Daphnia pulex: one gene and its partners. The protein of the gene in region 7 binds, or shares a complex with, the protein of the main gene of each other region. Links are inferred from orthologs where the notes say so. Each region holds a gene or a part of one and is shown on either strand. Other genes may lie near its edges.

What was found.
Region 1: transcriptional adapter 3-B-like (region 7) and transcriptional adapter 2-beta-like share a complex: the UniProt entries of both Homo sapiens proteins name them as parts of the TFTC-HAT complex. The link is inferred for Daphnia pulex from reciprocal best matches to the Homo sapiens genes TADA3 and TADA2B.
Region 2: transcriptional adapter 3-B-like (region 7) and protein Dr1-like share a complex: the UniProt entries of both Homo sapiens proteins name them as parts of the ADA2A-containing complex. The link is inferred for Daphnia pulex from reciprocal best matches to the Homo sapiens genes TADA3 and DR1.
Region 3: transcriptional adapter 3-B-like (region 7) and transcription initiation factor TFIID subunit 5-like share a complex: the UniProt entries of both Homo sapiens proteins name them as parts of the TFTC-HAT complex. The link is inferred for Daphnia pulex from reciprocal best matches to the Homo sapiens genes TADA3 and TAF5.
Region 4: transcriptional adapter 3-B-like (region 7) and transformation/transcription domain-associated protein-like share a complex: the UniProt entries of both Homo sapiens proteins name them as parts of the TFTC-HAT complex. The link is inferred for Daphnia pulex from reciprocal best matches to the Homo sapiens genes TADA3 and TRRAP.
Region 5: transcriptional adapter 3-B-like (region 7) and transcriptional adapter 2-alpha-like share a complex: the UniProt entries of both Homo sapiens proteins name them as parts of the ADA2A-containing complex. The link is inferred for Daphnia pulex from reciprocal best matches to the Homo sapiens genes TADA3 and TADA2A.
Region 6: transcriptional adapter 3-B-like (region 7) and SAGA-associated factor 29-like share a complex: the UniProt entries of both Homo sapiens proteins name them as parts of the ADA2A-containing complex. The link is inferred for Daphnia pulex from reciprocal best matches to the Homo sapiens genes TADA3 and SGF29.

The regions. Positions count from the first base shown.
Region 1 is NC_060026.1:11,481,078-11,485,061, forward strand, and holds transcriptional adapter 2-beta-like, read left to right. Parts: upstream 1-1,184; 5' UTR 1,185-1,258; coding exon 1,259-1,265; intron 1,266-1,338; coding exon 1,339-1,436; intron 1,437-1,580; coding exon 1,581-1,640; intron 1,641-1,698; coding exon 1,699-1,855; intron 1,856-1,918; coding exon 1,919-2,157; intron 2,158-2,223; coding exon 2,224-2,465; intron 2,466-2,532; coding exon 2,533-2,764; intron 2,765-3,004; coding exon 3,005-3,060; intron 3,061-3,241; coding exon 3,242-3,485; intron 3,486-3,556; coding exon 3,557-3,619; intron 3,620-3,683; coding exon 3,684-3,785; 3' UTR 3,786-3,847; downstream 3,848-3,984. Other genes in the region: eukaryotic translation initiation factor 3 subunit F-like, read right to left, coding at 1-172, 231-322, 390-678, 851-959. UniProt on the Homo sapiens protein: Coactivates PAX5-dependent transcription together with either SMARCA4 or GCN5L2.
Region 2 is NC_060021.1:11,079,441-11,082,065, forward strand, and holds protein Dr1-like, read right to left. Parts: upstream 1,473-2,625; 5' UTR 1,314-1,472; intron 1,231-1,313; exon of another isoform or gene 1,190-1,230; 5' UTR 1,181-1,189; coding exon 964-1,180; exon of another isoform or gene 901-963; coding exon 759-900; exon of another isoform or gene 700-758; coding exon 552-699; 3' UTR 501-551; downstream 1-500. Other genes in the region: uncharacterized protein LOC124194693, read left to right, coding at 63-95. UniProt on the Homo sapiens protein: The association of the DR1/DRAP1 heterodimer with TBP results in a functional repression of both activated and basal transcription of class II genes.
Region 3 is NC_060026.1:1,543,986-1,548,171, forward strand, and holds transcription initiation factor TFIID subunit 5-like, read left to right. Parts: upstream 1-1,386; 5' UTR 1,387-1,421; coding exon 1,422-1,604; intron 1,605-1,666; coding exon 1,667-1,858; intron 1,859-1,919; coding exon 1,920-2,122; intron 2,123-2,184; coding exon 2,185-2,381; intron 2,382-2,444; coding exon 2,445-2,646; intron 2,647-2,718; coding exon 2,719-2,838; intron 2,839-2,921; coding exon 2,922-3,513; intron 3,514-3,575; coding exon 3,576-3,977; 3' UTR 3,978-4,045; downstream 4,046-4,186. UniProt on the Homo sapiens protein: The TFIID basal transcription factor complex plays a major role in the initiation of RNA polymerase II (Pol II)-dependent transcription.
Region 4 is NC_060018.1:6,526,831-6,530,986, reverse strand, and holds the start of transformation/transcription domain-associated protein-like, read left to right. Parts: upstream 1-1,356; 5' UTR 1,357-1,621; intron 1,622-1,684; 5' UTR 1,685-1,689; coding exon 1,690-4,156. Other genes in the region: splicing factor 3B subunit 4-like, read left to right, coding at 1-217, 278-322, 382-791, 857-947. UniProt on the Homo sapiens protein: Adapter protein, which is found in various multiprotein chromatin complexes with histone acetyltransferase activity (HAT), which gives a specific tag for epigenetic transcription activation.
Region 5 is NC_060028.1:9,042,162-9,045,315, reverse strand, and holds the end of transcriptional adapter 2-alpha-like, read left to right. Parts: intron 1-808; exon of another isoform or gene 809-813; 5' UTR 814-943; coding exon 944-1,001; intron 1,002-1,175; coding exon 1,176-2,551; 3' UTR 2,552-2,654; downstream 2,655-3,154. UniProt on the Homo sapiens protein: Component of the ATAC complex, a complex with histone acetyltransferase activity on histones H3 and H4. Required for the function of some acidic activation domains, which activate transcription from a distant site. Binds double-stranded DNA.
Region 6 is NC_060019.1:9,072,457-9,075,823, forward strand, and holds SAGA-associated factor 29-like, read left to right. Parts: upstream 1-1,366; 5' UTR 1,367-1,486; intron 1,487-1,545; 5' UTR 1,546-1,643; coding exon 1,644-1,682; intron 1,683-1,744; coding exon 1,745-1,879; intron 1,880-1,939; coding exon 1,940-2,062; intron 2,063-2,125; coding exon 2,126-2,284; intron 2,285-2,350; coding exon 2,351-2,579; intron 2,580-2,660; coding exon 2,661-2,839; 3' UTR 2,840-2,867; downstream 2,868-3,367. Other genes in the region: uncharacterized protein LOC124191408, read right to left, coding at 2,941-3,081, 3,139-3,237. UniProt on the Homo sapiens protein: Chromatin reader component of some histone acetyltransferase (HAT) SAGA-type complexes like the TFTC-HAT, ATAC or STAGA complexes.
Region 7 is NC_060019.1:11,487,531-11,491,424, reverse strand, and holds transcriptional adapter 3-B-like, read left to right. Parts: upstream 1-1,238; 5' UTR 1,239-1,390; coding exon 1,391-1,571; intron 1,572-1,646; coding exon 1,647-1,783; intron 1,784-1,856; coding exon 1,857-1,988; intron 1,989-2,051; coding exon 2,052-2,195; intron 2,196-2,272; coding exon 2,273-2,487; intron 2,488-2,552; coding exon 2,553-2,677; intron 2,678-2,743; coding exon 2,744-2,874; intron 2,875-2,931; coding exon 2,932-3,090; intron 3,091-3,160; coding exon 3,161-3,304; 3' UTR 3,305-3,394; downstream 3,395-3,894. Other genes in the region: protein OPI10 homolog, read right to left, coding at 3,484-3,894. UniProt on the Homo sapiens protein: Functions as a component of the PCAF complex. The PCAF complex is capable of efficiently acetylating histones in a nucleosomal context. The PCAF complex could be considered as the human version of the yeast SAGA complex.

The DNA of each region.
Region 1 (3,984 bases), on a different chromosome or scaffold from region 7:
CGACCAAACGTGTTGTCAGCCGTTTTGGAGCCACTCATTACGTCGTCAACATAAGCCAAGATAGTGTCCAGCATGTTTTCCATCTGCTGCGAGGCTTCAACAATCTGAGTAAGATCCGAAGCGATGCCCGCTTGACGTTTAACCGAGGTTTTGGTTTTCTGGCAGGCATTTACTGAAAAACAATCAAAGATTAATTCCCAGTATACATACACATTTTCTATTATAATTACATCCAATAGTTTCTGGGTCATAGCATGCTATCTCAACAGAAACAGGAGCAAACATGCATCCCATAGTTTTGCCTGTGATACCCATTGGGACACTAGATGATAATTTAAAGATAATTATTTTTCAAAGCAATTGTATCATACTGAATTAATAGCATGTACCTGACATAAGCTTTGATTCCCATACGGGTATCTTGCAATGTGGTGTCCACTGTAATGTGAACAGGATTGGAGGACTCTCTGGAGTAGTACTCATGAATAAGAGCAGAGTGAGATGTGACTCCAGTACCAGTTGCCCACCAACCTACAATGCTTTCTTGGGGATTAACTTTACGATGCAAGTCATACATATCCTTGGCAAAGTCCAATTCCACAGCCACTTCTTCTTCTGATTCATTGTGAGGCACACAAAAGCAATTGGTCACTTCCACACCATTTTTATCTGATGTGCCTGGAAAAAATCAATATGAAAAATGAGTTATCACAACTTCGATTTCGCATATTATAGGAATTTAGGTATATAATCCAAAGATTTTGTCAGGTACTCGATACCGATACACGTGTCAACAGTCGAAAAAACAATAAAACGCGAAAGCAAACGGATGATCTAAATTGTATGTTACCAAGCAACGTTCCAATTACTCTCTGTGCATCAGGATTACGACGCTCATAAGAGTCAATAATCTGAAATAATACAACAGGATGCAACTTGACAGTCAGATTGAGAGCCATTTTGCGTGACTTTTTTTGCAGACCACTACCGCATTGGAGCTGAAAAAGCCGACACGAACTAGTTGCCAATTGGTGATATATAATACGTTGAATTATTTCTATTTACCAAACACGTCTCGTTATACATTAAAAAAAATTTAATTTAATAAAATGTACGGTGTACATTGTTTATAAATTTTACACGTCATTTTAATTATTTTTTAAAGACTTCTCACTTCTCAGTCACCAGAGGGCGCGACCAATGCTTTCGCTAGCGTTGGCATAGCTTAGTTGTTCTTGATGGGAAGGGAAGGCTAAAGATGGCGGGTAAAAAAAAATGCTCTCGTTGAATCCTTATTTTCGAAAATTGAAAATCTTTCTTTCTGTATCCATTCCTCAGATTTATTTATGAAGCATCGATGTGGCTACTGTCAGGACGACATCCTTGGCATTCGAATCCGATGTAACGTTTGTGTCGATTACGAACTTTGTTTACAGGTGTGGTATAAAATCTTCGTTGAATGAATCCCTCCCCTTCCTTCTTTGTTGTTTGTTATGACGCCCACCGGAGTGGTATTGCCGGTTGGTCGGCGGCGAATTTGAATTATTTTAATAACACAGTTTTGCAATGTTTCTTTCTAGTGTTTCTCTCTTGGCTGTGAAATTGGACCACATAAAAGTAGTCATGGATATAGATTAATAGTGAGTATTTAAGTTTTTCTATCAAACTCTCAATAAATACTTTATTTTTAATTTCTAGGATCCTGGTACTTTTAGTATTTTTCCTGACCAACAAAGGGAGGATGAAGGTGGCTGGATTGCAAGGGAAGACTATCAGTTACTTGATGCAATAGAACAGTTTGGTTATGGAAATTGGGAAGATGTTGCGAAACATGTAGAAACACGGGATTCAGAAAGTAATTGTTGATTTTTATCAGGATTTTATCATCAGTTACTCTCCAATTATGTTTTTTTTACAGAATGCAAAGAACAGTACTGTGATAGATTTGTCACAGGAACAATAGGTAAACTAACATGGCAAGGGCTTCCAAATGGACTTCTCGCAAGTGGAGAGTCTCGCTTGGCAGCAATTGATCACACTTGTCCAGATAATGCACCTCTATCTCCATCCATCACATCACGACTACCACCTTTAGCTATTCAACCTGAAGAAACATTAGAACTTGGATACATGCCTCAAAGAGATGATTTTGAAAGGGTGGGTCTTAATTTGTCATGAAACAAATTGTCTTAAAAACTTCAACATTATTTTTATTTTTTGTAGGAACATGACAATGAAGCTGAGGCAATTGTTTCTCATCTTGCCATTAATCATGACGACGAGGATATTGATTTGGCTCTAAAACTGGCTCAAGTCGATATGTATACTCGCCGCCTGAGGGAAAGAGCCCGAAGGAAGCGGGTTGCTCGGGATTTTCAACTGGTATCCCAATTTTTTAACGCTATCAAGAAAGAGAAGGAAAAACCTACGACTGCCGCAAAAAAAAGGGAGTCCCAAAAGGAAAAGTAATTCATGTTTCAATTAGTTAACTATAGATTCATTACAAACAGTTACATTTTTTTCCTTGTACAGAGAAACGCAAGAAAAATTTCGTTCGTTTTCCCAATTCCACACGGCACCTGAGCATGAGCAATTCTTACGCAATCTAACTAAAGAGAGAGCTTTGCGATTGCGGATTCGAGAACTAATCAAATACCGTAGGAATGGATTAACTCGACATGAGGAATGTACTGAATATGAACGACTGCGATACTTCCGTGAAAGAAAGAAAGAAGCCCGGTTGGAGCGCCAGCGCCGGAAATCCGTAAGCAATTTTCCCAGTCTGTACTATTGCTTGCATAGTTTCGTCAAGCGATAGTAAGAGTGTGCGACTGGTTTATTTACCTGTTAATACTTCGTTGAAATGAATCATTATTGGTGGTGTCCATTGGTTGAATATTCGATTTTATTTTTTTACTTATGTGTCTTTATTTTAAGTATCTTACAAGCTAGTTAAATTAGAACCCAAAAAAGACTGGAAATTGAACAATAGACTTTAACGTAGGGAAGCAGTGGACCGGGGCCGATTGTACAAAACCCTGGGACACTACACAAGTCAGAGTAAGCTTTATTATTTCCCCTTTTTTACATACTATGTGCAGTTTAACTCATCAGTTACCTGTGATAGCTTTGCATTATATTACGAAATCTCAACTATATTTCTTAGTTCTTAGAATTGTTAAGTAAATTCGTGGCTTATGTATGTAACTTGTTTTTTTTGTTTTTTTTTTTTTTTTCGCAGCAACGCAAGGGAAGAAGTGCTACTTTCAAGCTTTCGAGACGCAAAAGTCACCTCCTTCGGCAGCAACAACAACAGCAGCGTCCTCAGCGTTTCAAGCAGTCTGCCTCGACTCGGGCCCGTACTCTCCGCTAATACCCGACTTTCACAGTCAGAATGGCAGGAGGCAGTTGCTAATTTCCTCGCCAAGAGCGACGATCTCACTTTATGTCCCGGTTCAGAACTGCTCAGTCCTGCTGAAAAGCAAGTCAGTGAAACGATTATTATAATTATTATTTTTAAAGTTTTATCCAATAATTGTTTTCCTTTAAATCTCAGATTTGCCAAAATCTACGTTTGAGACCATTGTACTATACGTCATTGAAGGCCAATCTCATATTGGTAAGTCGAATCATTCACTCTCTTGATTTATTCACTTGAAATAAAATACAAATCTTTTTCTCAGAGTGGGACCGACAAGACTCCGCTCCTACCCGGCCTGGCTGCTGACGAGCAGTCTATGATTGTAAATTATTTTACGAAAGCCGGTTTTCTGTCTGTCGAGTGAAAACAGCAATTTTGTGTTGAAAAAATATGTGTCTTTTTTGAATAAAGTTCAACTGTTTTTTTTTAAACGAATTTCCAATATTCATTTCATTTTAGTTTTGATAGATTAGTTAAATTTTACGAATAATTTTGAGTATATTAATATAATTTGCATGATAAACCTTTTTTGTTTGATCAGATAAAAGATCACCTGATTTTTT
Region 2 (2,625 bases), on a different chromosome or scaffold from region 7:
TCGTCCAGTTTATTTGCTCTACTTTTAAGATATGGTCTAACAATGTTTTTGCAATTTTACAGAAAGCAAGATTGCTTAGTCGAAAAAAGAAATAATGTTTGGAATTTCACTTTTGCCTTTTCATATTTATATATAACTTCTTTTTCCACCACGACACACGTACTTTTGTCCAATACCACTATGATAAAGTTGAATTTCTCGTAATCTCGTAACACTTAGATGTCGATCAAAGGCTTGGTTTGTCCATGTTATTTATCCTCTCAAACCTTATTATACTGATATAAAGTCGATTTGCGGCTTGTCGAATTGTTAAGCATTCAAAATGAAAAATAACTTGTTAATTATGCAATAAGTCATGCAGTTAAATTCTTTCCAAATATGAGGTATCTGAGTAGTATAAATAATGCTTCAAGTACAAAAGTAAAGAATGTTAGGATGGTACTGATAAATAATAATTAAGACAACAGTAGAAATATTTCAAATACACTTCATTAAGCTCATTCTAGAAATCAAATTTTGTATGTATTGAATCAAATTTCACAAACAATCTTCTAAGAGTATTCTCCATCTTCTGAATTTGATGGAACATCTCCCTGTTGTTGCTGCAAGGACATTTGAGCCTCTGCTTGAAGTTGTAGCCACTGTTGCTGCTCAGCAGCAGCTTGTTCTTCTCTGGCTTTGGCAAATAATTCCTGCTGTCTATATTTTAAAAAATATGTATTAGACTAATTAAATCATAAAAAAGTGATAAAACTTACTGTCTCAATAGCTCTTCTTCTGGAATTCCCAAGTTTTCCAACCTTGTACTTTGGCGCCTCCTTTTGGCAGCAACAGCTTTACAATCTTTCAACACTGCTTCAGCATCAGTACGGTAGTCATTGAATCCAAGCCTATCTAATGCTACAACCATGTGTGTTAGATTATTTTTCCTTTCCATTACTTTACAACATTTGTAACAATTACCTCCAAGTATATGCTCTGCATTAATAGTCTTTTTCTGTTGCTGAGTACAAATTTCATTAGCCTCTGAAGCCAAAAGGTGTATGAACTCAGAACAACAGTTAAGAATCAATTCTCTAGCTTCATTGGCAACTCGGACACTGGGAACAATCTCTTTAATCATTTTGTTCATAGCAGCTCTCGGAATGGTCAATTCTTCTTCTGGCACAGCTTCTGCCATCTTTAAAGCCTGTATATCAGAAAAAAAACCTACTGTCCACAAACAGAAAACTTTATGAAGAGCAAAGGCTTTGTCAGCCAATACTAGAAGGAAACCGTAATATTGAAAAACAAATTTATGACTCATTATATACCAGAAAATTATATACGTAGAATTAAAAGAACAGCACACACGGTAAGAGTATGATCCTAAATTCTTTCAAAGTTTTCACTAATAATTAACTTTTCTCTCGTGCAGAAGAATGCATAAACAAAGCAATACAACAAACTACACCAAACACACTAGATAAGAAACTAAAATGAATCGCTAAAATAACCTTTTTTTATGCGCCTCTACCAATCGTATACAGGTACTAGGTTGGGAATGTCCAGAACCTTATCCATCTGGTGGCTGCGACTAGTACTTCGTATCCGACTGATAGAATATATCAGCTTGCACCATTATCAGCTTGCACCATTAGTTAGGCAATCCAAATTCATTATCATTATAGGCATTACGAAACAAAAACTAAAAAAGACCATTGTTTTTTCCCCGCATAATTCAGAATCAGGTCATTTTTGGTTGTAAAATTGCTGTCATCCCCCTGTGATTTCCACGCAAACCTTGAAATGATTGTCATTTTTATACTACAATTTCTACTTCATCGTCGGTCCGCGAGGAATTAGAGGAAAAGTCATTGACAAAACCAAGAATACGCCTAGGTCGACCACGGCACCACGCAAGGAAAAGAAAAATTCCGGGTAAAATATCTAAACTTCATTCGTGTTGCTTATAGCAACTCGATCTATTGAAGGTTGTTGACAAGCAGTGTTATTGTGCGTGTTAGCTTTGTTTTTTAAATTCGAAATTCAGAGACCGAGTGTGATTCTATTTGCGCTGTTTGTAAGCAGAGCTATAGATGACAGCGTGTATGGCAGAGCTATACATCTATAACTCTGTTGTAAGCATAAAAGGCTAGATATTTTAATTTAAACCTGAAGTCCTTAATGAATAGGATATTTGTCGTTTGTAGTTTGAATATGTTTTTTGATTTTTTAAATGAAAACAAAATCACAAAAGCCCTTTGCTTGCTAACGGAGATCAACAACTGAGAAGTTAGAAAGAATTCGGGTAATTTTCTGAACTTCGTAAAAGGGCAACGTCGCTTCCCATTCCTCACGGAAGTTCGTCTGCACTGTGCAAGTCTGCAGACTGCATTGCAGATTGGTGAGTTGGTGACGATGACATCATCTGCATATTTTTTCAAAGTTTCAATCATGGAATTGTTCGATTGTAGTGACTAGTACGCAATAATGAGTCCGTTCACTCTAAAGTTTGTTTATATTTCTCGATTGTCTAACTTATGTTACCCACGGGTGTCCCGTTGCACCGTGGACCTTGGAATGTGGATTGTGGTCGGTGAGAAATTGACGGTGGTAAAGAAACTATTGCCTGGGGGACCGTAA
Region 3 (4,186 bases), on a different chromosome or scaffold from region 7:
GGAAAAGAAAACAAGGCAAGGGTTTACAAAAAATAATGGCCTGACTCTGTATTATTAAATCTCCCGACCATCATCAACCATGTTTTTTTTCTATTTTGGTTTTTACATAACACACACCTTTTTTCCCCCCACGTTTTTACTTCAAACAAACTTGTGTGATGGTTCTTTTTTCTCGTGTGTAGAATTTCTTCCCCCCGTTTCTTTTGTGTATACTCGAACCTCCCCCCCGCCCTTCAAAACTTTTGTATATCAAGCTTTGTGAAACCTTGATTACCTTTTTTTTTTTTTATATACAAATCAATGTAGGTGTTCCACACATTTCTTCTCTATATACCTATTTAGCTTTTTCTCTCCTTGATCATGATCGTGGCCCTCCCAATATCTTTCGAATAATGTCCTAACTTGGATATCGTGTAAGTAACGCTGCTATATCAGGAAATGTACATTTCTTGCCTTGCCCGTTGATTTCATTTCATTCTTTCTTTAATTGGCTTTACTGATACTGATAAGCCTTTGCACTTTGGAAGTTGAAATGAGTGGAGAAATAACGAGAAAAATTTGGATATTCTTGTGAAAAGGCGAATCTATATTGATGCACATGGTACAAATACGAATGACATTTCACAAGAGGTAATTTTTTTTACAGCCAAATTTCAGCAGCTTTTGTCCAAGTGGGAACTCGTGGTGGTAATTAGTTTTCTGGTTCTGGATGACAGCTGACCCAGAATTACCTAGTGAAAGAACAGAACAGTTAGAGACAATTTACACGGCGTCATTAAAACTAGTGAACTTACCTAAGAATCAGACTGCCATTTGCTTCCATGTGACTGCGAGTGGTTGAGAATGGATTTACTTGGAGCGAGCACGCATCTTCCTGCGCTTACGCTTAAGCCTACGCATACGCTTCTTACGCCACTAAAGAAAGAAAGAGCCGGCCATTAGATTCACAAGCCTCGAGACAAGCATCACAGTACACCGATACATGAAACACATAGAATAGGTAGAAAAACGATAATTACCTTAGCTCTCATGATGCAGTCGGTCTCTAAATGAAACAAGGAAAACGAAACAGTCGGTTAGAGATGTTGAAAACGAGGCAATTGTTGGATGATATTGGATTTTGTTAACTCAGTAAAACCAAGAATGAACTTACCTAGGAAAGACTGCAGAGAAGAGTGAGAGAGCCAGTGCCTGATGGTCTCCTACATTGCCTATTTCCGTTTCCACTCCTTTCTTTAAAAATAGTTGAAATATTATATCGTAAAACATATTAAAACCTATATTAATTTGATGCTAGAAAAATTAGCAATTTTATTATGGGTAAAGTATTGTTTTAATTAATATTTTAGTAAATAAATTTGATAACTGGCACAATGCAAACCCGCTGTCGGGGTTGTTTACAACGAAAAAAAAAAGGAAAAATGGAGTTCGATATGAATCAGATATCTCAAACAAGTAATTCAAACGCGAAAATTGAAGCATCTGAAAGTCAAAACAGTGAAGTTCCAAGTGAAAACAGTGCAGTTCAACCTGTAGAACCAGAAAATGTCGACTCCAATACCCTTGCGGCCGTATTACAGTTTCTTCAGAAGCACAACCTGAAAGTAACTGAAAATGACATGATTATTTTTAAATTTCGGCGTCTCATTTATTTACAATGTATTAGGGGACGGCTGATATTTTGAAAAAAGAAGCACGGCTCAAGGAGGATCAATTACGAGATGCACAAGCTCTTCAAGTGGATTCAGAGGCAACAAATTTGCTCTCATCATACAAGAGCGAAGGAGACCCAAATGCCTACGAAAAAGCTTACCTAAGTTACAGGAGATTTGTGGAAAGCTCGCTGGATGTTTATAAAGTATGGTCAAAAGATATTCAACTCAATTTCAAATAATAATTTCAATTTGTTTACTTTTCAGCATGAGCTGTCCCTAGTATTGTACCCTTTATTTGTCCACATGTATTTGGAAATGATTTACAACCAACATGAATCAGAAGCCGCTAAATTTATGGAACGTTTTTCAACAGATCAGGAAGATTATTATCAGGATGATCTTAAAAAAGTTTCTTTTATTACCAAAAAAGAACACATGAAAGGCAGTGATCTCATGGAGAATTTCAAGTAACAAATCACTTTTTTTTTAAATAAAATCGTCAATCATAAAAACTTAAATTGTTAAACAGATCAAGTCAGTTCACCGTTCGAATGTCCCGGGATACTTACTCGGTTTTGAAGCGGTTTTTGCAGGACAAGAACCAATCAATTGTCATGAACGTCATTCAGGAACACTTGTACGTCGACATGTACGAAGGAGTGCCGAGAAATAAAGCCCAAGTTGAATCCACAGCCGGAGCCATGGAAGGCGAGGCCAACAGACAAGGTACACAAATCAAGAGATTAGAAAGAAATCCCCAAAACAATTACCAATTCTTTTCACTTACAGTAAACAAGACCAAAATCTACTATGGTCTGCTCAAAGAGCCCGATATCCAGCTTCCGGTAGTCGAGGAGGAAGAGGACGGAGAACCCGGCGAAGGTGGTGAAAAGCCCAAAAAGAAGAAACCCAAAAAGGATCCGTTGCTCAACAAGAAAGCCAAGAGCGACCCTAATGCTCCACCGGCCAGCCGATTGCCATTACCAGATTTGTAAGATGCAGATGCAGTGAAAAATGGTGTGGAAAAAAAGGAAAATGGTTGAGCTGTGAGTTTCTGTTTCAGGAGAGATATCGACAAACTGGAGAAGGTCAGGGCCCTACGAGAAGCCAGCAAGAGGGTGGCTCTTGGTCCAGACAATTTGCCGTCCATTTGTTTCTACACGATGCTGAATTGCGCGGAAACGTCAGTTATTCTAATTTACCTGATTTTTTCCATTCAATTTGAAATTATAATTTTTTTTCTTTTTCCCTTTTTGTGAATGACAGGGTCACGTGCGTCGAATTCTGCGAGGATTCGTCACTATTAGCCGTAGGGTTTTCCGATTCCATCCTCAAAGTTTGGAGTCTTGTACCCCAGAAACTCCGGGCCATGAAACCGGCCGAGCAATTGGCCGATATCGACAAGGAGGCCGAAGATGTTCTCGTTCGTATGATGGACGACAAGACGGGTGAGACTATGAAAGTCCTTCACGGCCATTGCGGGCCGGTTTACGCTGCCTCGTTCAGTCACGACCGGACGTTACTCTTATCATCGTCGGAAGACGCCACGATCCGGCTGTGGAGTTTGCAGACGTGGACCTGCCTGGTGGTCTATAAAGGCCACATTTACCCCGTGTGGGACGTGAGGTTTTCCCCTCACGGCTACTATTTCTCATCAGTCGGACATGATCGGACTGCCAGACTTTGGGCCACCGATCATCACCAGCCTTTAAGGATCTTTGCCGGCCATTATTCAGACGTTGACGTGGTCCAATTCCATCCCAATTCCAATTACGTCGCCACAGGTTCCAGCGATAGGAGCGTCCGTTTATGGGATTGCGTAACTGGCAACTGTGTCCGGCTAATGACTGGTCATAAAGTAAAAACATTTTCATCCTTTTTATGAGTTTGTTTTTCTTTACAAGTTTTTTGTTTGTGTAGGGAACCGTCTCGGCGTTGTGTTTCTCCACCGACGGCCGTTTTCTGGCATCCGGTGGAGCTGATCAAAAAGTCCTGTTATGGGATCTGGCTCACGGTCACTTATTGGCCGACCTGCCTGGGCACACGATGACAATCTCCAGTTTGGCCTTCAGTCGAGACGGGACCGTGTTCGCCACGTCTTCCCTGGACGGCTCCATCCAACTGTGGGATTTCTTCCGGATGACGGATGAGTCCTCTTTAGAGGACGTCAACATCTCGGGTCACAATCCAGACCTTCTCAAGCGGAGTAACGCCATTGAATCGCTCCGCCTGGCACGTTACCCGACCAAAGCCACTCCTGTCATGTCATTGCATTTCACGCGGAGGAATTTGCTACTCGCTGCCGGCATGTTTGAAGGCTAATCCCTCGATTCACACCAATTTTTAAAAAATAATAATAAGAATTAAAATACATATAACTTTGTCTCTTATTTCCACAGATCCATTTTGTTGTTGTCAAGTCGGGAAAAACCAAATTCTGTCGAGTTGGCTACGTATTTTTCGTAAACGTGCCTAGTGAACCTCGAGACCGCTGTATAAATAGAAGATAATCGACCTGGTTTTTTCCGAGT
Region 4 (4,156 bases), on a different chromosome or scaffold from region 7:
GCCTAAAGATCGGATTACTTTACTGCATCAAGGATACGGATTCATAGAATTCCTCAGTGAAGATGATGCTGACTACGCATGTAAAATTATGAACATGATAAAGCTGTATGGTAAACCCATTCGGGTAAACAAAGCATCAGCACACCAGAAAAACTTAGATGTTGGAGCAAATATTTTCATTGGAAACTTAGATCCTGAAGTTGATGAAAAACTTTTGGTAACCAATCAGCATTCCTTTAGGTTCAAAACACAATTTAATCTATTATTGCTTTTTTAGTATGACACATTTTCAGCATTTGGCGTAATTCTTCAGACACCAAAGGTAAATTTGAAATCATTGTTGGGGTTTTAAATTTTACTATTTTGTTTTTTTGAATGCAGATCATGAGGGATCCTACAACAGGGAATTCAAAAGGCTTTGCATTCATCAACTTTGCCAGTTTTGATGCATCTGATGCTGCCATTGAAGCCATGAATGGCCAATATTTATGTAATAGGCCAATTACTATATCATATGCCTTCAAGAAGGATTCTAAGGGTGAACGCCATGGATCAGCAGCAGAAAGGCTTCTGGCAGCACAAAATCCTCTTGCTCAGACAGATCGGCCTCATCAACTTTTTGCCGATGCCCCTCCTATTCCTCCGCAAATGAGCAACATGGGAATGTCAGGATTGCCTCCACCTCCCCCACCTCCGTTGCAAGGACTTACAATGGCGATGCCTCCACCTCCTCCTCCACCACCCACCTGGGCTCCTCCACCTCCACCACCTCCATCTTCGAATTTTCTTCCGTAAATATAATAGTGATTAGATTCATATGAATATTTACTATATAGAATCAACATTCATATTTTAGGTTAGCTCCGATTCCGCCGCCCCCGCCTTCCTGGGCGCCGCCGCCGCCACCACCATCAACTGGATTTGTTCCAATTCCACCTCCCGTTTGATTTCGTTTATTCATTTCATGTATGTCTGAAATACAAAATAAAGTAATAAACACATTTCTTTGACTTTGCGACTGTTTTGGGATCTGCTTCGAGATAGTTACGCTTATGTTGAATCCATTAAATCGTAAATTAAAAACATCAGACTAATTTTTTTACGAATATTTTATTCGATCAATTAGCTCTGTTATGCAGTAAAGAATTAGTTCCTTTCTGTTTTGTAAAGTGTAACTAAATGTACGCTAACAAAATTACAAACTGACTCTTGAATTGCTTTTACTCACAGATGGCTCCATTTTCTGTCCATTTCCGTATTTTTATTTCACCCAACAGATGGTGCTACATGACTCGTTTGTTCTCGATGAGTGAATGATTTTCATGTGTTGCGGCCTGTTTTTCATTTCAGCAATAAGCATGATTCTTTAGTCAACTTTTAAGTTTTAAATAGTAAATGAAGCAGTCTGGCTCTGTGGTGAAGCGTACAGGCGTTTATTCTGAATTTTATTCAATCCGTTCATAAATCTGCTTAATGATGTTAGCTGTTTTCTAGCTTGTCATTATCTATAATACCTTCTTTAAACAATGTCAATCTTGAGTAGCCTATATAAATTGTTTTTGAACCCTACCTGAGACGCTACATTTGAATTGACGTTACCACACGACTTCGTCAACTACAGGTGAGGAGTCTGAGCTTTTTCATTTTTTTTTGAACAATTTTTCAATGTTGTTCATTCATTTAGATAAAATGGGGCCTTCTAATGCGGTACCTGGGTTGGATGTTGTGGCCCAAATGAATACTTTTACCTCTTTTGTTTCAATGCTCTCCGATCCTGGGGCAAAGGATGAGAACAAACTAAAAGCAGCCCAAGAGCTAAGTGAAAATTTGGAAGTCATTGTCAGTTCCCCACAGTATCCAGCATTCTTGGATCATGCTATGAAAAATTTTCTCAAGATACTGCAAGACAGTGAACCACTCTTCATTGCAGAGTACAACATTCAGCAAGTCCGAAAATTGATTTTGGAAATGTTTCATCGTCTTCCCACCAATGAACACTTAAGGCCATATGTGAAACAATCACTTAACCTCATGTTCAGATTACTTGAGAGAGAAAATGAAGATAATGTGCTGATATGTCTTCGAATCATAATTGAACTTCACAAACAGTACCGTCCCCAATATAGTGTGGAGATCCAAACTTTTCTACAATTTGTCAAAGGCATCTACCGTGACCTACCGAATCAACTAAACAAGATATTTGAACCAAGGAGCCCCATCAAAGTTAAAGATTTAAGTGAATTAAACATTGAAGCAGTACTTGCTGAAACATTTACTGCCACTGTTGTTCTCACAGAAACACGAACTCCTGATGGAAACAACATATCATATAATTTGATACCAAAAGGAGTGTTGTCGTTGAAAGTTTTGCAGGAACTCCCAATAATTGTGGTCCTAATGTATCAACTTTACAAGCATAATGTTCATCAAGATGTAGCAGAGTTTATACCTCTCATCATGACTACAATTACCCTTCAGCCATCAGCCCAGCACAAGGCAAATCCTGCATTTAACAAAGAAATTTTTGTAGACTTCATTGGAGCCCAAATCAAAACGCTATCTTTCCTGGCCTACATCATTCGCATTTATCAAGAAGCTGTTGCTCAACAAGCTACTCTAATGGTTAAGGGTATACTGGGACTCTTAAGTCTGTGCCCCATGGAAGTTGCTCATTTGAGGAAAGAATTGCTGATAGCATCAAGGCACATCCTGGCAACTGACCTCCGTCTTCATTTCATTCCATTCATGGAGCGCTTATTTGACGAAAATTTACTGTTTGGCAAAGGTTGGACAACTAATGAATCTTTAAGACCTTTAGCCTATAGTACGTTAGCTGACCTCGTTCATCATGTTCGACAACACCTTCCAATGCTTGACCTTGCTCGTGCAGTTCATCTATTCTCAAAAAACGTTCATGACGAATCGCTTCCAACAAGCATTCAGACTATGTCTTGCAAGTTATTGCTGAATTTGGTGGAGTGCATACGACAACGTTCAGATGTTGAAAATGGACCTGGAAGAGAGTTGCTGATAGAAATGCTTGAAGTTTTTGTTTTAAAATTCAAAAGCATCGTGAAATTACAGTTGCCTATTTTAGCTGGGACAAAGAACAAGCAAGACAACAGTGGAACAAATGCAACCCCTAGTACTGAGCCTCCTTCTTCTCCTTCGTTAAGTTGGTCACAGAATGGAGCTGCACCACCGTCATCTTCACCGTCATCTGCGAATGAAACGAAACCGGAAGATACTCGGTCATCTTTAGTTCTTCTAGATGAAAAAGAGAAAACGATGAAGTTTGCTGTTCGAGTTGCGGGACCTGTCTTCAGCATCACTGAATGTCGAAGCTTAGTTAAAACGCTTGTGTGCGGTGTGAAAACCATCACCTGGGGATGTGCGGCCTGCAAAACTCCACTCGATACTACGACTAGTGTTGCTACTACAGGCAAGAATTTGCAACCTAAAGAAACGGTGATATTCATCCGTTTGGTGCAGTGGGCGATGAAAGCACTTGATGTGTACGCCTTAAATATTCCGAGTGCGGTCGGAGCGGAGACCTCTGGCAGTCTTAATAGCACCGTCGTTGGCTTTCCGGTCGGTGGGGCTTCCGCTGCTCGGCCGACTGTTCCAGCACAAACTATTCGCTCTAAAGAAGAAAAAGAAGTATTGGAACATTTTGCTGGTGTTTTCGCCATGATGAATCCGCAGACTTTCAAGGAAGTATTTGCCACAACAATTGACTACGTGGTAGAGCGCATTTACCGCAATAGCGCTTTGCAGGTAGTTGCAAATTCATTTCTTGCAAACCCTTCCACCTCCGCTGTTTTCGCCACCATCCTCGTCGAATATTTGCTGAATCACATGGAAGAAATGGGATTGAACATGGAGCGTTCTAATCTTTATTTGAAGTTGTTCAAACTTGTGTTTGGTAGCGTTTCTTTGTTTGCTGCGGAGAATGAACAAATGTTAAAGCCACATCTACCGCACATTGTCAACAAATCTATGGAATTAGCTTTGAGTGCTAAAGAGCCCTACAACTATTTCCTCCTGCTGCGGGCACTTTTTCGATCCATCGGCGGAGGTAGTCATGACCTCCTTTATCAAGAATTTTTGCCATTGCTTCCGAATCTTCTTCAAAGTCTAAACAGTCTTCAAAGTG
Region 5 (3,154 bases), on a different chromosome or scaffold from region 7:
TGCATTTTTGGGGAGAGGGGGGGTCGGAGTGAAAGTTTATGCGGAAGGGCCTTTTCTTCTATTATAAAAGTATTCCGACTACAATAATCCTTCGTATTTTATTTCATCGTCGTTTGCTCCTTTTCTCTCCCTTAAGTTTTACTTCGACGTCTTTATGCAAGAATAATCCGGCAGTCTTCCTCATCTTCTTGAAAATAACTTGGAACGTAGTTCTCTCTGTCATTAATCATGTACGACGTATTACATTGTGTAATATAGGGAATTCTTCGTTGCCTACTCTAATCAATTAATAATCCTACTTTCTCCTTCATATTTCCTGTACGCCCATCTTTTTGCCCGGCATTTTTGTCTATTCCGCTCTTAATCAATTATTACGTTCCTGAGCCAACACTTATTGATGGCGGGAGTCGGTAGAAAACCTTTTAATTATGAACCATGCAGGCCCCCGTGTTCTTAAATATTCGTATATAATCATTCAGGCTGGCTGGTTGGTTGTGCTGCATCGCTCGCTGCCATCTGTTTTATTCATTTGGCTGGCATTAACCATTCCGATGATTCGCCGAGGTGGTGCCGTGCAGGACTGCCGGATGTTGGAGATTACGAAATCTCTAGCGCCTTGTTCGTGCTCAGACTTGTGTGCGGTTTTGAGCGAAAAAATTATGTTTTAAAAACAACTTCCTGGAAATGAAGAGAAATCCAACAAACGTGGACTAGGGCACTAGGCCACACTCTTTTGCACAATGATTTGTGTAACGTTTTTGGGACTCCAATTAGTATTAATTTATTCGTTTTGATTTTTGTCTGATAGTCTAGGTCAAATCCGGCTGGGAAAAACTGGTACAAAATTGCCAAATGAATATTTTTCGAAAAATGAAATTTTCAACGAAAATCACAACAGCAAGTCTGGCAACGTCGTTACACTTTACTCTAATATCATTTGAAAATGGCGGCCGCCACAGAGATCAGTGACGAAGATGCCGCTGTTTTGCAGTTCCCAAAAGGTAAAAAGAACTATAATTTCCTACCCAGTTTACGGTTTTGAGCTTCCCTGTGTTAGGCTTGATATGTTTTCATAAAGGGATTTACAGTTATTACAGTTAATTGCTGTTAGGCTAGACCTGGCTAAGAACTGCACGTTTCGTGAACGTTTAATTCATTTGCAACGAATTTCTTAGAAATGTCGACTGATGAACCATGTGGAAATGTGTGGCCGGCGACAGATTGTTCCCAGACTCGAGTGTGTTTCATTTGTCAGACCCCTCTGACTGGAGTTTACATCAGGTGCGAGGAGTGTGTCAGAGTGGACTTGTGCCCAACGTGCTTTGCCAAGGGAAAGGAAAGCAATCACCATTTGAACAATCACAGCTACAGGGTCATACGAGATGATTTCTACCTCTTTGACAACTGGACTGCTCGGGAAGAACTCACTTTGCTGGATCAGTTGTCTACGCATGGGCCATCAAATTGGACGGAGGTTGCCAAACGCTCCAAAGCCAGTCCTGAAGAATGTGCAAACCACTATAACAAGTGGTACCTTGAAGACCCAGTGGAACCTCTACCAAGACCGAAAAGTCCAGAGAGACTGTACAGGCCTCAGCCTATCGTCTACAGAACCGGAACTCACGACCCCCCTAGGCCTGTTCCTGGATCAGTTTACCACAGAGACATGGCCGGTTACTGTGCTGCTCGAGGAGATTTCCAAGTGGAAGCCTTCCAGAATGCAGAATTTGACGTGGCGTCGTTACAGGATGAAACGAAACCCGATCCCGACGAAGAAATCGACCAAGAGGCTTTAGAACTCGAACGTGCATTGGCCGTGGCCGTGGTGCAAGTGTACAACGACAAGTTGCGCGAGAGATTTCGAAAGAAACGTATCGTCCAGGAACACGGGTTGATCAATTTTCATCGTCATTTGGCGGCTCGTTATCGCTACGACTCTACGCTGACACATCGCATTTGTGAGCGTCTCTCGGTGTTTTCCCAGGTGTTCAAATTTCAAGACCACTGCAGTCTCTTTGAAGGCTTGCACGGACATGTCGAGTTGCGGCAGCGAATCCAGCAGCTGCAAAGGTACCGCCACTTGGGGATCAAGACTCTGGCGTCGGCCAAAATCTACACGCAGCTTCAGGCTCGTCGTGAGAAGCACATGAAGCAGTGGAAGCAGTTTTCGGCCAACCTTCACGTGGCGTTCCCCGTCCAGCAGCAGCACCAACAGTTGGTGACCTCAGCCCTGCTTCAAGGAAGCAACGGCAACGTTCTAGTCAGCCCGGCTGGCCCTTTCCCACAGCAGCGAAGGAGCGCACCGCCGCTGGACATTGTCGGTCTGCCCGGTTACGACAAATTGAACGAAGGCGAACGTCAGTTGTGCTCCGTTTCACGTCTCGTTCCCGAGTCGTACATGGAATTTCGAAACATTCTCATCGCCGAGTGCCGCAACCGCAAAGGCATTCGGCTGGCTCAGGCCAGGACGTTGATCAAGATTGATGTGAACAAGACGCGCAAGATCTTTGATTTCCTCCTAGAAGAGAAACTAATCTACTTCCCCGCTTGATTTATGGCACCACTTGTTATAATAATGTTTTGTACAGGGGGCAGAGAGACTGAGAGAGAGAGGGGAAGAGGAGATGAGCAATAAACTTGCGTTATACAGTCAAGCCTCATGTCGTTTTAGCGTGTTGAAATCATCTCGAATTACCTGTTATATATATATATATATAGATATATAGATGTGTGGGCTTGTAGTCATGGGAAGCTCATGCAGGTTTGTTTTCTTAGATCAGCAGGAAAAGAAAGAAAAAGAGTCGACAAACGAGTGGGCACTAGTTTAGTAGTTTGCACAGTGAACCATCCCTTAATGCGGTTTCATTCTTCTGTCTCCATTCCACATCATTACAGAGTTCGAGAATGCGGAAACATTGCTGATATCTGAAGTCCACATGTTGCTGGACCATCGTAAATTACAGAATGAAAGCGCAGAGGACGAGCAGGAACTGTCGGAAGTCTTTATGAAGACGCTTAATTACACTCAGCGCTTTAGCAAGTTCAAGAATCGTGAGACTATCGCCGCCATTCGCAGGTTGATGCTCTTGAAAGTTTGATTTGTTTGTTTGTTTTTTCCCGGAATGAATCAATGACTTCATTCCCAACTTTTTCC
Region 6 (3,367 bases), about 2.4 Mb from region 7:
CGAAAATTCCATTTTGACAAGCTCCATTGCGAAAACGCGCCCTCAAGACATCTCGACTGGAAAATGACTGCAAAACCACTGCTCACACCATGAACGCTGCATCAACACCATTGGCAGCTCCAACATCAAACTAACCAAGAAATCCTGTAAATCAAGTTCAAAGGAAAACAATGAACCAATTACATTTTCAAATACAAGAAAGGGTTAATTTCTGTTTTATATTTAAAAAATACAATTCTATTGAGCAAATCTTTTCACAAAAGCTCTTAATTAGAAACATATAGTTGTTGTAAAATGTCATCTAAATCGAGAATTCAATGTCTGACCTGATTCCTGACAAAAATCACATGTGTAGCACACACTTTTAAAGTAGACTAAAATATAGGCAAATTCTAACCCACTCGAGTGTTCTAACAAGTTAAGTGCATGTCTGTGAAAGCTCTTGGCATAATTCAACTGGAAATTGAAACAATTTGCAAAACAAAACGTAATGAAGCTCAGGCTTTACTGCTCAACAGTTAATAGAAAAATTTAAATTACTTTTTGAAACAAAGTCACACAATTTTAATTCAGAAACAAAGTCTTGAATTAAAAAGTTAAGCAATAATTACTTTTTACTGTTCTGCATGGAACGAAACGTGCAACATTCAGCAAGAGACGACATTGTGGGAATGTACAGCAGGCCACATGCGATTACCAATTATGAATTGAAGACAATGTTACACGTTTTGAACCACACACAAAATTAAATTTTATAAAATTAAAGAATAAAAAATGGAATTACCATGTCTATGATCAACAATGTCACGTAAGAAAGTACCAGCAATGACTAAATTTTACCTTCTCGGACAGCGTCTCGACAGCAAAAGAAAGACTGTTCTGTCAGTCGTCTCAGGACTTTGACAGTTTGATGACCCATCCCCCTACACCCCTCTAGAAACAAACACACTAGAGCTGAATAGTTCAATCCCTAAACACGCTGAAATATTTAGCCACCTAGTGACAGCCCTGAGCATCCACGGACGACTAGAATGGGACGGAAAATAAACGAAATATTCGTCATCTCCGTGAAATACATTTAGTAGATAAAAAAAATTATCGAAAAATTAACAGGTGAGCTTTCTTGGTGGAATAGTTATCGTCAGTCATCACCAAAAAGTTACCACACAATGCCGATACATTTTTACAGGGATGTGCAAAATATTAAAATAACTGACTACAAAATAACTAAATAATTTGAGAGTTGAAAATGATCAAAGGCTATATAATAAAACCACTCGAAAAAAAGGCCTGATTTAGAAATTATTGCCATGGTTATACAATTTGAGCATGCTCATGCCATCTGCTAATGACGAATGGAACTAATACAGTTGATGCCATAGTTGCCATGGTGACGACAAAGCAACTGCCGATGTTACGATTTTCAATTTATTGTTTGGAAGGCTGATTTCCGATGACTGTTTTTAAACTCATCTTCATTAATTTAGTAAGGTTATTTTTCTGTGCATAAAAGATATGTAAATTTCAGAATTTAATTTTCTTTAGTTCTTGGTTTTCTTGGTGGCTTTTGCTTGGATTCCAGTCATCATTGCTGGTTTGAGCTCATCATTTAGGAGAGGTAGTTGTTATTAAACATATACATCATGGCTTTGTCATTAGATTCTGCCACACAGCAAGTCCAAGTAAGGTTGATATAATCAGTTGTTAAGGTATTTACTTAGTTCTAATTTGGATTGGGGTGCAGGAACGATTGAAGGGGATCTACAAGTTGGTCAAGCAGATTCAAGAAGAGAAAGTTCGTAATGAAGGTAACTTAAATGCTGTTATCAAAGCTCATGAAAAACTTCAGTCAGATGACAAAATTTCTCCATATCACAAGGTATTTCTATTCCCATATCACTAATTAATCAGCACTAATGAATGCCTATAAAATTATCAGTCTAAATTAAAAGGACTGTATTGCTCTGTGGTGGCTGATGCTGAAAAAGAAGAGGACCTTATTCGTAAGGCATTAAGCAAAATCTATGAAATTCGCGTTATCAGACATGAAAGGAGAATTCAGGTTATTCCCAAGAACGTAAACTTAGAAAATTTCACCTAACATTGTACTAACATTCTTGTTCAGGCAAAACAAGCTGGCAGTAAGGAAACTATAAGAAGAGGTGCTCTCATGAAAATGCTTCTCGTTACTGCTCAAACTCTCCCGCTGTGGATCAGTAAGTCAGGACAACAGCCACCAGCATTATGTGGAGCAGTTCCAGCTGACCCAACTTACGTTGCCAAAGTATTACATTATTCGAATGTCATAAACTGTTAATTGACTAACCGAAACACCTTATATGTATGTCAGCTGGGAGATATTGTTGCGGCTTTGGTAAAGAGTACAGACGGCGATGAGAATTGGATTTTGGCAGAAGTCGTTCAATATTTAGCTTCTTCTGGGCGCTATGAAGTGGATGATATTGACGAGGAACAGAAAGAGCGACACACTTTAAGCAAACGCAGAGTAATTCCTCTTCCTTTGATGCGAGCTAATCCTGAAACCGATCCCGATGCTTTGTTCTCAAAAGGAGCCACTGGTAAAAACAAAACAAAAAAATCGCAAATTTTAGCTGATCCGACGTTAGCATATTATTAACATACTAAACATTTGTTTTTAGTCATGGCTTTGTATCCACAAACGACCTGTTTTTACAAAGCGGTAATCAATCAATTACCCCAAACAGCTCAAGATGAATACCAAGTTCTTTTTGAAGATTCTAGCTATACTGAAGGATTCAGTCCGCCTTTGATGGTGGCGCAACGATATGTCATAGCTATCAAAGAGAAAAAGAAATGATTTCAAATACATTTGACCCTTTTTTCTATTCTCTCTTCTGTACAGCAGGATTTGTGTTTTTCACTACTTCTTCCAACCACGTATGAAACATGAAATAGAATCTAAATGGGGGAGTTTTTGAATCCGTAGTCGGCGTAGTCAGAAGGCTTCATTTTATCGGAAACTTTAGGGAAGTTCGGATCTCCTGGGTAAACTGCGGGTCTGGAGCCGAAAATTGCAAATCCTTTCTTGCGAGTCCAGTCCTAAAAGTTAAAATGTAGTATTTTGGGTGCTGTCCACTATTAGAGGCAAATACTTACATGAGAGTTGTACTTCAGATTGTAGGTAATTCCCAAAACCAGCCATCCAGCAAGAAGATATTTACCAACCCAATAGCGAGTAATCTGAGTTTTGTCGCCCTATGAATAAGAAAAAGAATTAGAACACAGATTTTATGAATTATGTAGTAGTCTCACAACCACAAAATGGACAGTTAATTAATTTTTAAAAGTAAAGTGTTTTAGTTCACATTACATCTGCTCGAACTAA
Region 7 (3,894 bases):
TTTCCTCCCTCCTGACGTGATCAATACCTGAGCTACAGATTCCCCCATGCCCTATTTCAACCCCGCCAACGCATGTACAGCTGTGCAACCCCCCACCCATTTGCAATCGTCGCAAAAAGAAACAATTCACTTCCAAATGAACTCACTATCAAATTTTACCACCTGATATCTGCCTCTCATACGAATGCTACTGTTTGGATAAATTAGGGTCAGACTGCTGCATGTCACACAAGATTACTCAAGGTTTACTAGGCAGGATGGTATAAAAAAACCTGTGCTAATTATGAAACGAAGAGAGGAATTTTGAGAACATGCTTTGATTATGAAGGTGTCATGTTTCACCATCCAGAACTTTTATGATTGTGCAACACAGCGGTCTCCTTACCTTGAAATGAACGGATAGCTGCAGTACACACAAAGCAGTAGGAGCGAACTGGAAAATTGTGTCTAAAATGTCACTGAAAAATGGCTGTTTCAAGGAAACTCAGGATTCTTCAATAATTATTGAAAACGAAGGATGTCCCCACACGCACTCGACCCCCCTTTGGGTTCTTCAAAGCAAGTGACACAGATGGTGTAGCCCACACATATCACAATATGAAGAAAAACAAGGTTTCCACAGCTATTTGTAGAAAAAATAAATTGCACTTCACGAAGTTCGGTCTGGAATTCCTCTCTGATAGGCCGCAGATTCAAACTTTAATTTCAAACAGACAATAAACTGTCATGAAACGTAGATAATGTTAGTGTCACAAAAACTCGTTGCCTTTTCACTCGGTAGCCATATTGGAATAAACTGAAAACACCAGAGAAAAGAAGACTGGAGACCCGCAGACGAGGGAATTTTACAGCCCTGAAACTAGCGCTGTTTCAGACATAACGGCCACATAATAATATAGTGAAACACCAACTAAATTAAATAAATACATTGGCCTATGGAATTTGTAGTTAAATGAAATCGATAAAATATCATACAAATTTATATTAAGCATTCTGCATTCATTAAAGAAATACATGAAAATTTGAAAAATTTGAAAATCAAGTCTAAAACTTTGAGTTGCAATTTCCCTGATTTTATTATTTCGAAAACTGCGTTCAAATATTTTTAACAAGTAATTTAAAAAAATATATTAGACTTTGATTGTCTTTTCTCTTTCGACTTAAACGGTTTAAGTTATCCAAAGTTTTCATTAAACCATTCAAGGAGGCGCTGCTATCGTTTGACGAATACCCAGTCTCATTTTCTCTCTTACGTTGTAAATCGAAATATCGAATCGAAAGTTTGAAAGTTAGGTATCGATTCTAGTCCAAGCTTTTTTGACAAGTAAACAACGTAAATCGTACATTCGTACGTGAATTGTCTTGTCAAATTTAAAATTTGGGCCGAAAAATGGTTCCGGGTAAAGGTAATATCTCCAAAGGAAAAGGAGCTACAAATGTCAAAGGTTCAACGTCAGCCACTAAAGTCAAAAGGGAAAGAGTTTCAGAACCTGAGGACTCAGATGAAGAAGTTACTCTAGCTGATGTCCGAGCTGTCGACTATGGAAAGGTTTTACCTCGTTTCACATCCAGTAAGAACTAATTTTTTTTGTTTTTCTGTTGGTTTTCTAATTAACAAAGATATAAATATAATCAATTGTTTATAGTTACGGCTAGATCAGAAGAAGGGGGTGTTATGATGGATGATTTGGACACCTTACAAATGGAACTAGAAACACTACTCAATTGTGTTGTTTTGCGTTCCTTAAATTTACAGAGAGAAATTGCAGGAATGACTGAAAAGGTATTCATCAAAGTTTTTTTTTCATCTTGTGTCTATTTTCTGTTTGCCAACAACACTATGTGTTTTTTTTTAGCCTCCATCTCCTGGAAAACGATCAAAACAAGAAGAGCGTTCACCTAAAAAGTTCAAAGATCAACCAGGAAAGCTTAGAGATGCACACACACCTCCACTTTTAAAGCAGATGAAAATTAAATCTGCTCTAGCTGTACCTAGTTTCATGAAAAGTAGTTTTATTTACAGTCAAGTAATGATCTCTTTGATTTTATAGAAGCCTATCCCACCAGAAGGAGTTGTTGAGGAAATGCCTCCTTTAGAATTAATGAAGACATCAACTGCCAAAAATGATACACCAAACAAATTTTGGGCTTCTGTAGAACCATACTGTGCTCTTTTTACAGATGATGATTTAAAGGTAAAATGATTTGTATAAGATTAACATAACTTGGAATTAAATTTTTTTTCTTGTGGTAATTGATGTTTTAACTAAAGCTAGTAGAAGAACTAATCTCAACTCATAATGAGGATGAAGAATACCTCAAAATTCCTCCTCTCGGTCGCCACTATACACTTCGGTGGGCAGAAGATGATTTACTTCAGGAGCAAAGAGAGGGCTCTCGTTTCGGCGAGAAAAAGAAGATTACCTCTGGATCTTCTGTAGGAACGGAAGAGGCTCAAAGATTAATGGACACAGCAGCTAAAAACAAGTAAAAAATTAATATTTTTTTTTCTAATAGCCGCATATTGCTTAACGATAGATTTAATAACTCAGTGCTGAAACAAATACTACATCTGCGACGGGGATGTGCGGACCCATGACCCAGCGTCTCATTTCAGCTCTTTTAGAAGAAAATATTGTAACTTCTGTGCAGGACACAATGGAATCAGAAGGGCAAGGTATATTGTTCATTGTTTTCCTGTTTAAAACTAATGCCAACTAGCGGTTCGAAATTACTGTAACAGACGAAAACGCGAAATCTACTGGCACGAAGGCAGCAATGAATGGACCTCAAGCTGCTGCACTTGAACGTCGTATTCGTCAAGAGTTAGAAGAACAAGGCATTTTAACTTCCGAAGAAGCCAACGTTAATTCGGTAATTTATTCATTCAAAACACATTTCAGAGGTAGTATTATTAACCCCCTGATTAAGGCCGATGATGAAATATTGACGGAGTTACGTCGATGCCAAGGAGAATTGAGGGCCATATCACTGCACAACTTGAAACAACTGAAACGACTGTACCGCCTCAGTCAAGAAGAAATGAAACGTCAGGAAATACGGAAAAAATTGATTGCAGCGGACGCTGAGGTATTCATTTTTCAAGTGTCATCTCTGCTTATCGAGCTCGTCTACATTATTCCCAACTTCTTTTGAATAGGTATTAGACGTATATCGTAAAATGGCTGCCGCTAAACAAAAAAAACGCCCGTTAAGCAAAAAAGAAAAAGATCAGATGTGGAAAATACTTCGTGATCGTGAAGCGATTGTCAAACAGCTGGACACGGGAACGACTAGTATGTAAATATTTTTTCAAACAATACAAGACGTGTGTGATGAAGATGAACTAAGATGGTTAATTGAACTTTGCATAACAATATAAACTTTTAACAAGCCTTGTTTATTACTTAAATCAATTAGCATGTATTCAACAATGAAAAGTTGAGGTTACTTGAAGTTGATAAGAATTTAATAAGAATTCTTTCAACTTCTCCAAAACTGAGGATTCAATTCTAGTTTTCTAATAAAGTTAGTGTACCAGTTTCTTAAAACAGACATTGGGATGAAACTTTCTGATGGATTTGGTGTCATTTGTGATTGAGTAACAGCAAAACTTGCTGCATAATTGAAAAGATTTTGAAGAGTACGTTCAGCAAACTCCTGGAATGTTGTGGTGCTACTAGGCTCTGTAATGGCACTAGGAGATTGATTGGAAATGAGGCTAAGAGGCTCAATTGAAATCCCTATTTGAGCATGATGATGTATTTCCCCCTGGTGCACCCCAAACATACTAGGGCTATAACTTCCCGGATTCTTCTTCAAGCCAGTGATTTTGTAAATGCTTGACGGTTTGTTATTGGTGAGGTTACCTAGTAGTTGCCACACTGGTGGGGC